Ovis aries: one gene and its partners. The protein of the gene in region 2 interacts with the protein of the main gene of each other region in a biochemical or structural test. Links are inferred from orthologs where the notes say so. Each region holds a gene or a part of one and is shown on either strand. Other genes may lie near its edges.

What was found. The genes of interacting proteins can lie anywhere in the genome.
Region 1: the proteins of CYSLTR2 (region 2) and PDZK1 interact in a test that uses a peptide from one of them, tested with the Homo sapiens proteins (2 studies listed by IntAct, with this or other methods). The link is inferred for Ovis aries from reciprocal best matches to the Homo sapiens genes CYSLTR2 and PDZK1.
Region 3: the proteins of CYSLTR2 (region 2) and MAGI1 interact in a test that uses a peptide from one of them, tested with the Homo sapiens proteins (2 studies listed by IntAct, with this or other methods). The link is inferred for Ovis aries from reciprocal best matches to the Homo sapiens genes CYSLTR2 and MAGI1.

Annotation. Positions count from the first base shown.
Region 1 is NC_056054.1:99,065,569-99,069,317, reverse strand, and holds the start of PDZK1 (Na(+)/H(+) exchange regulatory cofactor NHE-RF3), read left to right. Parts: upstream 1-1,410; 5' UTR 1,411-1,536; intron 1,537-3,749. UniProt on the Homo sapiens protein: A scaffold protein that connects plasma membrane proteins and regulatory components, regulating their surface expression in epithelial cells apical domains.
Region 2 is NC_056063.1:18,786,441-18,789,882, reverse strand, and holds part of CYSLTR2 (cysteinyl leukotriene receptor 2), read right to left. Parts: intron 3,138-3,442; 5' UTR 2,838-3,137; intron 1,111-2,837; 5' UTR 1,110-1,110; coding exon 76-1,109; coding exon of another isoform or gene 72-75; exon of another isoform or gene 1-71. UniProt on the Homo sapiens protein: Receptor for cysteinyl leukotrienes. The response is mediated via a G-protein that activates a phosphatidylinositol-calcium second messenger system.
Region 3 is NC_056072.1:35,499,354-35,503,102, forward strand, and holds the start of MAGI1 (membrane-associated guanylate kinase, WW and PDZ domain-containing protein 1), read left to right. Parts: upstream 1-1,126; 5' UTR 1,127-1,730; coding exon 1,731-2,043; intron 2,044-3,749. UniProt on the Homo sapiens protein: Plays a role in coupling actin fibers to cell junctions in endothelial cells, via its interaction with AMOTL2 and CDH5. May regulate acid-induced ASIC3 currents by modulating its expression at the cell surface.

The DNA.
Region 1 (3,749 bases), on a different chromosome or scaffold from region 2:
TACAGTCCGTAGGATTGCAAAGAGTCCAACATGACTAAGCACAGCACAGGACAGAGAACAGAGCTGCTTCAGGGTGAAGGGGAAGATGGGCCAGGAGTGATGCAGGGAGGCCGGGGGGAGCAAGGGAGATGAGGGATGGCGGCAGTCAAATGGTCCTATACATAGAGGTGAGGGGGTGGGTGACTGACCTTATTTCTTCACTCGTGACCCCCTCACCCATTTCCATTCTATTCTATTCCTCCTTGGTTGTTGATGGCTGGGGAGACCATGACGATTATTCCTAAACTCTAGATTGTGTACTTTGGTAGAAAGAGCATTGGTCTGAGAATGAGAAACTCTGGGCTCTAACCTCTGCAAGGCTGGGCCAGGCCCTGTGCCAGTGGGGACTCAGCACAACAGGAATCCCCTGGTTATGCAGCAAACTCTACCATGATTGCCAACCAGTGCTGGGCTACCCAGGAGCCCTAATTGGGTTGGGTGACATTTTTCATGACTAGAGTCCCTCTCCACTTGTGTGGACAGGGAATTCCTGTTTTTAGTACTCTGTGCCCCACCCCCAAATAGTAACAGGACTTCTGGAGTTTGAGGTCCTTTCAGTGGACAAGGAAACCATTGTCTGGGCGTTGTCAGGTGAGACATACATCAGGAACATCTTGTTATTCCACTGAAGTATTCAGCTTTCAGTATTCAGAATGAGTCAATTCCAGGAGCCTGTGGTATAGAAACCCTTGTTGAGAAGGGGGGGTCTTTCATCCCCTTTCCATGTCTCTCACCAGCATCCCGGTCACAAGGCCAGCCCACCACAGCCCACAGGACACCTGGCCCTGCTGACACGAACTCTTAAATTGGACCTGGTATCTGGTAACCCAGTATCCTTCTTTGCTGTCCATACAATAGTGGTCAAATTTATGACCTCCTGTTCCCTAAAAAGGAGATTTGTCCATGCTTGTCTCTGTGGGGTACTTAGAAGGTTGGCTGTGAGGGCATTCAGCATTTCTCATCATCCAGGGATTATATAACACAGATTGTTATGAACATGAAGAGGAGTTGAACATAACAGGGCTGTAGATGCACGAAGGTGGGCCCCCTGAGCCCCAACGGCATAGCTATGTATTCACACTGGTTACTGCAAAAACCTCAAAGTTCTGCAAAGACCTCAGGGCTAGAAACTGAATCATAGAGGGCTTCTTTCTTACAGTGAGGCGGCATCTGTGCATCTTGTAAATAGTTGCCTAAATCATTTTCCTAAGATGCCGCTTCTGATCCCTCCTCACTGAGAATCATTGTATGGTAGGCACTGGGGGGTTGACGTGCCTGAGTGCTGGCCTCCTCTCAGGAGAACACTCTCTGCTGAGGCCCCACCCCTGTGAGCCAGAGCCGACCGACTGCACCAGGTGCTGCAAGTCACCCAGAAGTGAGAGGACACCCGAGAAGGAAAGCCGGAAGAGAGACTAATCCGTGCACCAGACACTATTGGGCACTTTCATGAACGGTGACATTTGAATTGAGCTTTTAAAGAAGAGAGAATTTCAAAAGGTAAGTGCTTTTCAGATAGAAGAATAATAGGAATGAACAAGGAGTGGGGCCACTCGGGGCTTGTTTGGAAACCAGTGAAGTGGCTGAGGTGGCTAGAATGTAGGTTGCTTGCTGGCTGGAGGGGCAGCCCCAGTGTCCACAGTCTCCCAGATATTTATCTTGTCAGCCTTCACGTGTCTGAGGTGCCTGAGTCCAATAACACAATTTAACAGCTGATATATTGTTTCCAGGATATTACTATAAAGTGCTCTGTGTTAAAATCTGGTTAATTAAGTCATACTTGTATCTCACTTCTGTAGAACTGTGATGTCTTAGAGATGGAAGGGACAAACACAGTCATCTAGTCCAGTCCCTGGCAGAGTGTAGAAGCTTCCTTGTCAGTGGTTCTCAAAATTGAGTGTGTATCAGAATCACCTGGACAGTTTGGTAAAATACACATGTCTGGGCCCAGCCACAGAGTTTCTGATTCAGTAGGGTTGCAGTGGGGTCCAAGGATCTGGGATCCTAATAAGTTCCCAGGTGCTGCTGTTGCTGTAATTCTTGACAACTGCGTTATTTAATACTTCTTGAATCCTCGGCCTCCATCTCTAGTTGTGTGTGGCTCATGACCACTCACAGCATCCACCCACTATTCTTTGTTGAACCCTCCAGTTGTTTGAAAATTCTCCCTCCCGTTGCCTTCAGAACTGCCTTCCTTTTACTTCCACCCAACCATTGCTCCTAATTCTGCTGAGAGCGCCACACAGAACATGTCTGTGGATGGTGGCTGAGTCACAGGCCTGGGCTCATCTGCTTGCTCTCCCACTAGGTATGTGACCTTGGGCAAGTCTCTCAGCTTTTCTGAATTTTCCTGATTTGTAGAATGGAAATAATATGTTTCTAAAATATCTAAATAAGATGTTTAGATTAAATGAGAAAGTGTGCATAAAATAATTAGCTTGCTTTTTTGGCGCATAGTAAGTACTCAATAAATGCTGAGTTTTAGCACTACCCGGATTCCTTCTCCACGTGTGTGTGTTAGTCGCTCAGTCGTGTCTGACTCTGTGACCCGATAGACTGTAGCCCACCAGGCTCCTCTGTCCATGGGATTCTCCAGGCAAGAGTACTGGAGTGGATTGCCATTTCCTTCTCCACAGGATCTTCCCAACCCAGGGACTGAACCCAGGTCTCCCACATTGCAGGCGGATTCTTTACTGTCTGAGCCACCAGGGGAACCCTTCTCTATGTGGGATCTCATCAAATCACTGAAGAAAGTTAATCATTTTATCTAACATTTCTTCTTTCTGGGATAAATATCCTTAGTTTCTTCACCTATTCCTTCTGGCACAGTGTCAATATTTCCTTCATTTTTGTTACTCTGCTCCAAACAGAGTCTGGTTTGTAAAGTTCCCTTGTGAAGTGTGCATGGGGCTCAGACCTGTCGCTTGCCTCAGCATAGCTGGAGCCTAGTATATTCACTGTCGCCAAAGATCACTTTAGTTTTTGTGGCTAATTTCCACATTTCACTTGACCCCATCAGACTTTTCGGCAATGAAATGCCTGAGGCCACATCTGCACGTCAGGGAAAATTTGTTATTCTGTCACATTTCCCCCTGAGGCTCCCCTGGCTGCCTCCGCGTGGGGCTCTTACTGTGTGTGGGGTGTTGGCTGGGGAGATCACTCTGATCCTGGGTCTGACCTGGGGCTTACACTTGCTTTGTGACTGCTGTGAGAGCAACCCGGACAACAGGCCATGTGAAGAAGCATGTCAGAGGCTGACAGAGAAAAGGGATCTACTTCTTTTCTCTGTCTTGGCCTCTGCCTCTCCTGGCTCCATGGGCCTGGTGGGAGACCCAGCGTCTCCCCTGGGGAAGGGTGAACTGACCCCTTTGGTACAGCCAATAGTTTTCTAGAAGGAAAACAAACTTCAGGGCCAGAGGGCATTTAGAGCAAAGCTGTGTAGGCATTTCAGTCCCCACCCCCTGCCTCTGTCTCTACTGGCCTCTTGCCCAGAGTCCTTGGTAACATCATGAGGAGAGAGTCAGGGCTGTTTTTTATGGGGATGGCGTGGCAGCTTCAGGGGTATAGGTATTAGGGTGACAAGGCAGGCTCTGGGAGCAATGCCTCTCACAGTTTCAATCCCAATTTCTAGTCTGTAGTGAATGGCTTACTGGGAATAATGACCTCAAGTTTTAAACTGAAGGCAGAAGAAATCTGCCCAGGTCACTGGTGTA
Region 2 (3,442 bases):
ATGGTGTAAATATATGGTCTTTTGGATAAAGGTGGACACAAGACATAGGAACAGCCTTGCCCAAGAACCCCTTACACTCCTGTTTCGTTTTTCAGCCACACACAGAAAGGAAAGCAGCACTTTGGTTCCTGTGGATGATCCTTCCTGAGTGCAAACTTTAGTCTGTCCTTAAAATTCTCCCCAGCAAAGTAATAAAGCAAAGGGTTGAAGCAGCTGTTGGCTGCCGCCATAGCCAGTGTGATGGCCACAGCTTTATGCAGCAGGTCGCTGCATGAATCCGCCTCCCACTGGAGCAGGTGGAGGGTTCTCAGTATATGATAGGGCAAGAAGCACAGGAGGAAGATGACCAAGGCAATGATGATGGTGGTCAATGCCTTCCTGTGAGAAAGCCGCAGCCCTGATTCTGGGACCTCCGCCTTCAGCAGAGCTCGGATGATCAGCAAGTAGCAGATGCTGAGCGTGCAGAAGGGCAGCAGAAAGCCCACTACCAAGGCAATGTAGTTCATGGTCTTCAGTTTAGGAGCTTTATTACGATTCAGCTCCAAGCACAAGGTGACATTGCCCTTCAGCTCAGAGCCATTGTTCAGTAGCGTTATTGAGGAAGCCATGATAAAGACCCATATGATGCCACAAACAATCCAGGCATTCTTGATGCTGGTGGCATGAAGGAGCCGGAAGGGGTGAACGGTGGCCAGGAAACGCACCACACTCAGCACAGTCAGGAAGTAAATGCTGCTGTACATGTTGACATACAGAGAGTAAGACATAATCCTGCAAGTCAGGTCCCCAAATATCCAATTGGACCCTCTGAGGTAATAGTCCACCCTGAAGGGCAGTGTGGCTGTGAACAAGAGATCCGAAGTAGCCAGATTGAGCATGAAAATGTTCACAGATGTGGACTTCCTATAAGGTTGCAGGAAAACATATATGGAAAAGCCATTTCCCAAGGCTCCCCAGATAAATATTACCAGGTACACGATGGGGTAAAATTCTCTCTTAAAGTTTTCAGCTGTGCAGTTCCTGTTGCTATGGTGATCGCTGAAGGTGCTGTTAATTTCCATTTCTGATGCGGAGATGGATGGAGATAAGGACACAAGTTTTCTTTCCATGCTGAATCAAAAAGAAACAGATACAAAAAATTGCTTCCTGCTCATTGCTTACATTTATCCAGGTTTTAATGAAACAGAGAGAAATACTAGCTTTTCTTTGAAACTTGAATCAAAAAATATTGGCTATGTTTTACCATGTGCTTATCCTTTTACCATCTGTCTTTACTATATGTTTCATTTCATTTCATGGTAAACTTCTAGAATGCAGAATAACCATTCATTTATTTGACTGAAGCTGAAGTCTCAGACTAGGGGAACTCTTGCCCAGGGTCCAGATGAAGATCATCTGAAGCTTGTCTCTGACCCTGGAGAAAGTCATCAATTACACATCTTCTGCTCTGGAAGCTGACAAAGATTCTCTTCTTGATGAAACTCTAGCCAGGCTCCTCTGAATCCTCTTGTCAACCAGGTGTCAACCTTGACTTATGCGACTTGAATAACAACTAACATAAAAACACTAACATAGTTATGAACAACTCAAGACTGCATCTCAAGGATGACCCCTTCTTACATAGCCTGAGAAATCTCAAGGCTGCCAAAAGAATTCAGTGCTTGTTCCAGCCAACACCTGGACATAGGGCCTCTGCCTCAAGCCTCTGTGGGAGGGTAAGAGCCCAGTCTCTTAAGTACCAGTTAGAAAACCCAGATACTTTCCACTTGGACCCAACCCCTCCTTCCTATTTGTAATTTTTTAAATTCCCTGACTCTACTGAGCCCCTGCTCACTCACTCTCCTCTCCTTTCTCTCATTCTCTTTTTAAAACACCCAGGGACTTCCTTGGTGGTCCAATGGGTAAGAATCTTCCTTGCAGTGCAGGGAATGTGGGTTTGATTCCTGGTCAGGGAACTAAGATCTTACATGCCATGGAGCAACTGAGCTTGCGCCCTGCACCTACTGAGCATACATCCATGACTAGAGAGTCGGAGCGCAGCAGTGAGAGATCCCATAGGATCCAACAAGGATCCTGCGTGTTGCAACTAAGACTCGGTACAGCCAAATAAATGAATACGTATTTTTTTAAAAAAAATAAATAAATAAAATAAAACATCCAGTTACTTCTGAGTTCAGTTCATGTTGGACTAGTATATTATTGAAAAAATTGCAATAGTATATTATTGAATACAATCTGTCTTACCACTCTTAGAAGTGTGCAGGTTTTTTTAATCTTTGACCAAGCATTGGTTTAAATGTAAATTTACTAGGCATAGTTGTCATGGATAATCACATGGTTCTTAATTTCTTCTTTTCTAGTCAAAGAGAAATTTATACTGAACACTTCTTGCCTTACCTATGTAAATACTACAGGACAGCCCATAACTGCAGAGGTAGGGGCAGACTTCTAGATGTCTAAGGAAAAAAACAAGTGGCTTGGGGAGACATATTTTCATTGTCTGGGTATGGTAGTCCGGGTCCCTATTTTACAGAGTTTTTTTTATAAGAACTAATAACCATTTTTGTTTCTGCAAAGTCCTCTGTTTTTTAATGTAAGCCCCAAATTACCTAACAGAAGCACAATTCCTGCAAGAATTCTTTTCCAACACCCTCTTCCTGAGATATTCTGATTTCCCATGGTGTGCATTCTCCTTGATACAACAAGTCAATACACTCAATGCTGTTCAACTACAGGGGTGTTCATAAAGGCCTTTGACTAGAAGACACTGACTCTGAGAATTCACAGAATGATACTTCTAAAAGAAGTATGGTAAAATGTTAGTTAAATTAACTTACCCAAATGGATGCTTTGTAAATGTATTTCCGATACAGCAAATATGTTTTTCAATTCTCCTTCAGAGACTGATGTGAAGATGCAACTCAGAAAACATGGTTGGTATGTAAATGACGTAAAAAAAAAAAAAAAAGTCTTTTCTTTAGTTCAGCACTTCCCAAAGTATCTTCCACAAACTACGAATTCCATGAGATGTTCTGTGTAAGGAAAGGCTTCTGTGTTCAAATCAGCCTGAGAGACACAGCAAGCTTTAGTATCCCTCTCTTGGAGATTCATAACACATGTCAAAGCTCTAGGAGGTCCTATAAGAAAAAAAAAACCAAGTCTGATTAATACAGGGTGTCCCTCTTTATTTATTTATTTTTTTACTCTGAAAACGTTTTTGCACACTGAAACATTCTACTATTCCACAGAACTAATGTTCTATAAAACTGTCCCTGTGAAATGCTGCTGTTATTATATAATTTATCCAGAATATGATTTTGATAGATGAAGAGGATCCCTACTTAATGGGCCAGATCAACAAGCCAAGATTCAAATGTCTGGAATTAAAGAGTGACTGCAGCCATGAAATTAAAAGATGCTTACTCCTTGGAAGAAAAATTAT
Region 3 (3,749 bases), on a different chromosome or scaffold from region 2:
TCACTGAGGAAAAGAAAATGTTTAGGAGACTATCGCCCAGGCCGATTGGGGAGTATTTAGGGAGGGTAGCCTTGCCGGTGCAGGATATTCTTTCTGTCCGCAGCCCCCGAGCACGTTCCGAAACCTAGCAGGGACATTAGCTGGCTCTACCCCCGCCCTCGGGCGGTGCCCGAGGCAACAGCAACTCCAGGCTGTGAATTCCGAGAGGTGGCTGCCGCGCCCACGCCCCCGCGGGCGCCAGGACTTGGGTGCAGATCCCAGACCCAGGAGTGATCCTTATCTCCTGGCCCCGGGGCGGGTCCAAAGGCTGCCCAGCTTAGCCAGGAACTTGAGTCCAGGACAGACGCCTGGTTCCAGAGGTCTCTGGCCGCCAGTTTTAAAGAGCTAGACCCTTTTCGGTTGAAGACCCCAAGCCTCTCTTGCTTTTAGGCTTCTTTCCCTCGCCTTATACTTTATCTGCGTCCAGAAAAGTTGGCCCTAAAGTTTAAGGATGCAGATAAGTGTGTGTATACGTGTGTGGGCGTGTGACGGATCCCATTTGGGGGACCACCACGGCCCCCCCTCCCCAGGGTCGCAGAGGCTGGGGCACACCCTACTCAAAGACCAGAACCCGCCCTCACAGTGCAGGTTGGGGGGAAGCCGGGCAGGCGCACTCCTCTGGGTTGGGGTCAGGGTATTAGAGGGAACTGCGGCGGGGGGTGGGCTGGGTGACGGACAGCGTGGCCAGCCACTGGCCGAGGGCGGTAAGGAAGCTTAGGCCGGCGTGTGTGCGTGCGTGTGTGCGTGAGTGTGAGCGCGAGGGTGAGTGTGCGCCTCCCCAACCCCCACCTGTTTGAAATGGTTTTAAAATACCCAAGCAGATTGCCCATGTTTTTAAGTTGCAGTCAGTTGGAGTAAAACACTTCCTCCTCTCCCAGACCCCCGAAGGGGCTATGCAGAGTCGTGAGCACTGAAATAAAAGTAGGAATGAGAAGGGTGTGTGAAGGGGGAGAAAAGTGGCTGATCCTGGAGAAGTCGGACTTAGGACCCAACGGGAAGCACATTGGAATCTCTCACTTCGGGAAGGCGGGGTGGGGCGGGCCGGCCGGCAGGCGGTCGCGGGGCGCATGCGCGCGCGTCTCCTCTTGCCGGCCGCTGCGCTCGGCGGCGCGGAATAGAATGAACTGTAACAAAACAAGCCGAGCCTTTGTATCTGCTTAAAGGGGACGCAGGCACTTCCCTCCTGTCCCCCCCGCCCCCGCTCAGCTACCGCGTCTCCAGGGCTCCCAGCAACTGCCTAGAAGGGCTTCCCTCACCCTCAGAAACTGCCCGCCAGCGAGGAAAGGCGACCCAGGCGGGAGGCAAAGAGGAGACACCGCATTTCTAAGAGGCAAGAAAGAAAGGAAGGAAAAAAAAAAATAATCCAAGCTGCGCAGAGTGGACTCTGGTCCCAGAGAGCACGGTCGGGCGCCGGAACGTGGACCGAGAAGCACCGGAATGCAAACAAAGCTCGCGGGCGCCTGTGCAGGGCTCGCGGGGAAGCCCAGAAAGTTTGTTTTATGATGGCTTGAGTGAGCGAGTGTGTGCAAGGGAGCGAGGCTGCCAAGTTTCTCTCTCCCGCTGCGTTGTTTGTGGGGGGAGATGTCTCTCCCATGAACCAGCAGGGGCTTGGGGGCTTGTGCTGTGGGGGGCACCTGTCTCTCATTTTATCATTATTTTTTTTGGCGGGCGTAGTAGGGGTGTAACTCATCATGTCGAAAGTGATCCAGAAGAAGAACCACTGGACTAGCAGGGTTCACGAATGCACCGTAAAACGGGGACCCCAGGGAGAGCTGGGGGTGACGGTGCTGGGGGGCGCGGAGAACGGAGAGTTTCCGTATGTCGGAGCGGTGACGGCTACCGAAGCGGCGGGGCTTCCCGGCGGCGGCGAGGGCCCTCGGCTGAGCGAGGGCGAGTTGCTACTGGAGGTGCAGGGGATCCGGGTGTCCGGCTTGCCCCGCTATGACGTACTGGGAGTCATCGACAGCTGCAAGGAGGCCGTCACCTTCAAAGCCGTCAGACAAGGTAAGTCGGGCCGCGCCTCCTGGAGGCGCCCCCAGAAAAGAACCGGCCTGAGAAGTCTCCCCCCCGCCCCCCTTCCGATTTCCCGCTTTTCTTCTGCGAACGCGGCGTAGGGGCGATGTTGAGGCCGTGTGCCCAGTGATGGTGAAATACACCAAGTTGTTGAGAGGCTGTGGGTTGCTTGCCCACCTGCGTTGGGAAGAGGGGCTTGGGTTAGCTCGGGGAAGCGCAGAGATTTTTCCCTGGCCCGGTTTGCTAACCTGTTATCTCTGCAACCAAGCGCAGCAGTGGCTTGCCTGCACCGGGAGGAGAGTTGGGGAACTGAGGCAGGGGCAAAGTGGACGCTCTCCTGGCTCCCTGGGCGAGTGTTGCAGCGGGCGCAGCTACTGTGTTCTTTGATCTCTTATTTGTTTTCAGACCTAGAGAATGGGTATGAAGGAGGTGAGGGTCTTTGATTGTTGGACATCCTTAATCAAAAAATCAGCATCACCCCGTGACCGGCCAGGTGGGCTAGGGCATCACCACCTTTCAGTCCTAAAGCTTGCAGCTTGAAGATCTTGCATTCACCCCACAGCTGGATGACGCATGTGTCTCAACCCGTGTGGCCTGGCCCCAGACTTTTGGGTGGCGTGGGGGGAGAGAATAGAGAGGGTATTTCAGCGCCATTCAAGCCCGAGTTTATACTGCCACCAACATCACCACCATCCCCATCACTGCAACCATCGTCATCATCCCTGTGAAGATGATTATAGCTGCTGTTTCTTATTCACTTATTATGTGTCAGGTTCTATGTAAAATGCTTTCCTTGCACTCTTTTGTTCTGATGCACAACAATTCTGAGAGCGAGTGTTTCTTCTAAACCCCCTTATGTTACCGATAAGGAAGCTGGGACTGACATTGTTTCATTTACTGATATTGGTTCAGTTACTTGCCCAAGGTCACACAGATGCCAAGAGTGAGGGTTTGAAAATCCTTGCTGCAGAGCCTTAACCACCAAGGAGGAAGAGGATGAGTGTGGGAGACCTGAGGGGTGCACTTAAGAGAAGGGAGTGGAAGCAAATTCACCTCTGGGAAGCTTGGAGAGGAGTGATATGGCTGCTGGTTGCGGGGAGTCCCTTGCATCTTAGTTTGGTATAGGCTCAGGGCTGTCCCTGAGTAGAGAAGTAGAGAAGGAATGGATTCCCTTAAAGGGGTCCCTTGTATGACCAAGCACCGTGATGCAGGTTCTTCCCTGGTTGAGCCCTGGTGAAAAGTTCACACATGTGCCTGCGTGCTTGAAAGGGCAAGCAGCAGCTGGAGGACTGTGTCAGAGGAAAGGAGGGCTAGGCTGAGCTAGTCCTCTTTTGGAAACAGGCCTGTTCCAGATGAAGTGGAGGAGGGGGACAGGGAGAAGAGACGGGCCTTTTGGTAGCTTTGGGAGCTGAGGGACTGACAGTTATGGAAATCTCCTTCCATTTGTGTCCTCATTATCTGCTTGCACACCTCCTCCAAGAAGCCTTCAGGCACCCTGCCAGGATGAAGAAATCAGCGTTCCTCTGGACTCTCCTAAATGTGTGTCTTGTCAGTTTTCTGCTTATTCTGAACTATGCGTTAGATCCCTTCCCTTCTTTCCATACAAGGTGGTAAGCTCATTGAAAGGAGAGAATATGCCTCATTGACTGCACACCACCTCAGCTTTGCTTAAGGTCCAACACCTTGTCTCACCTGGA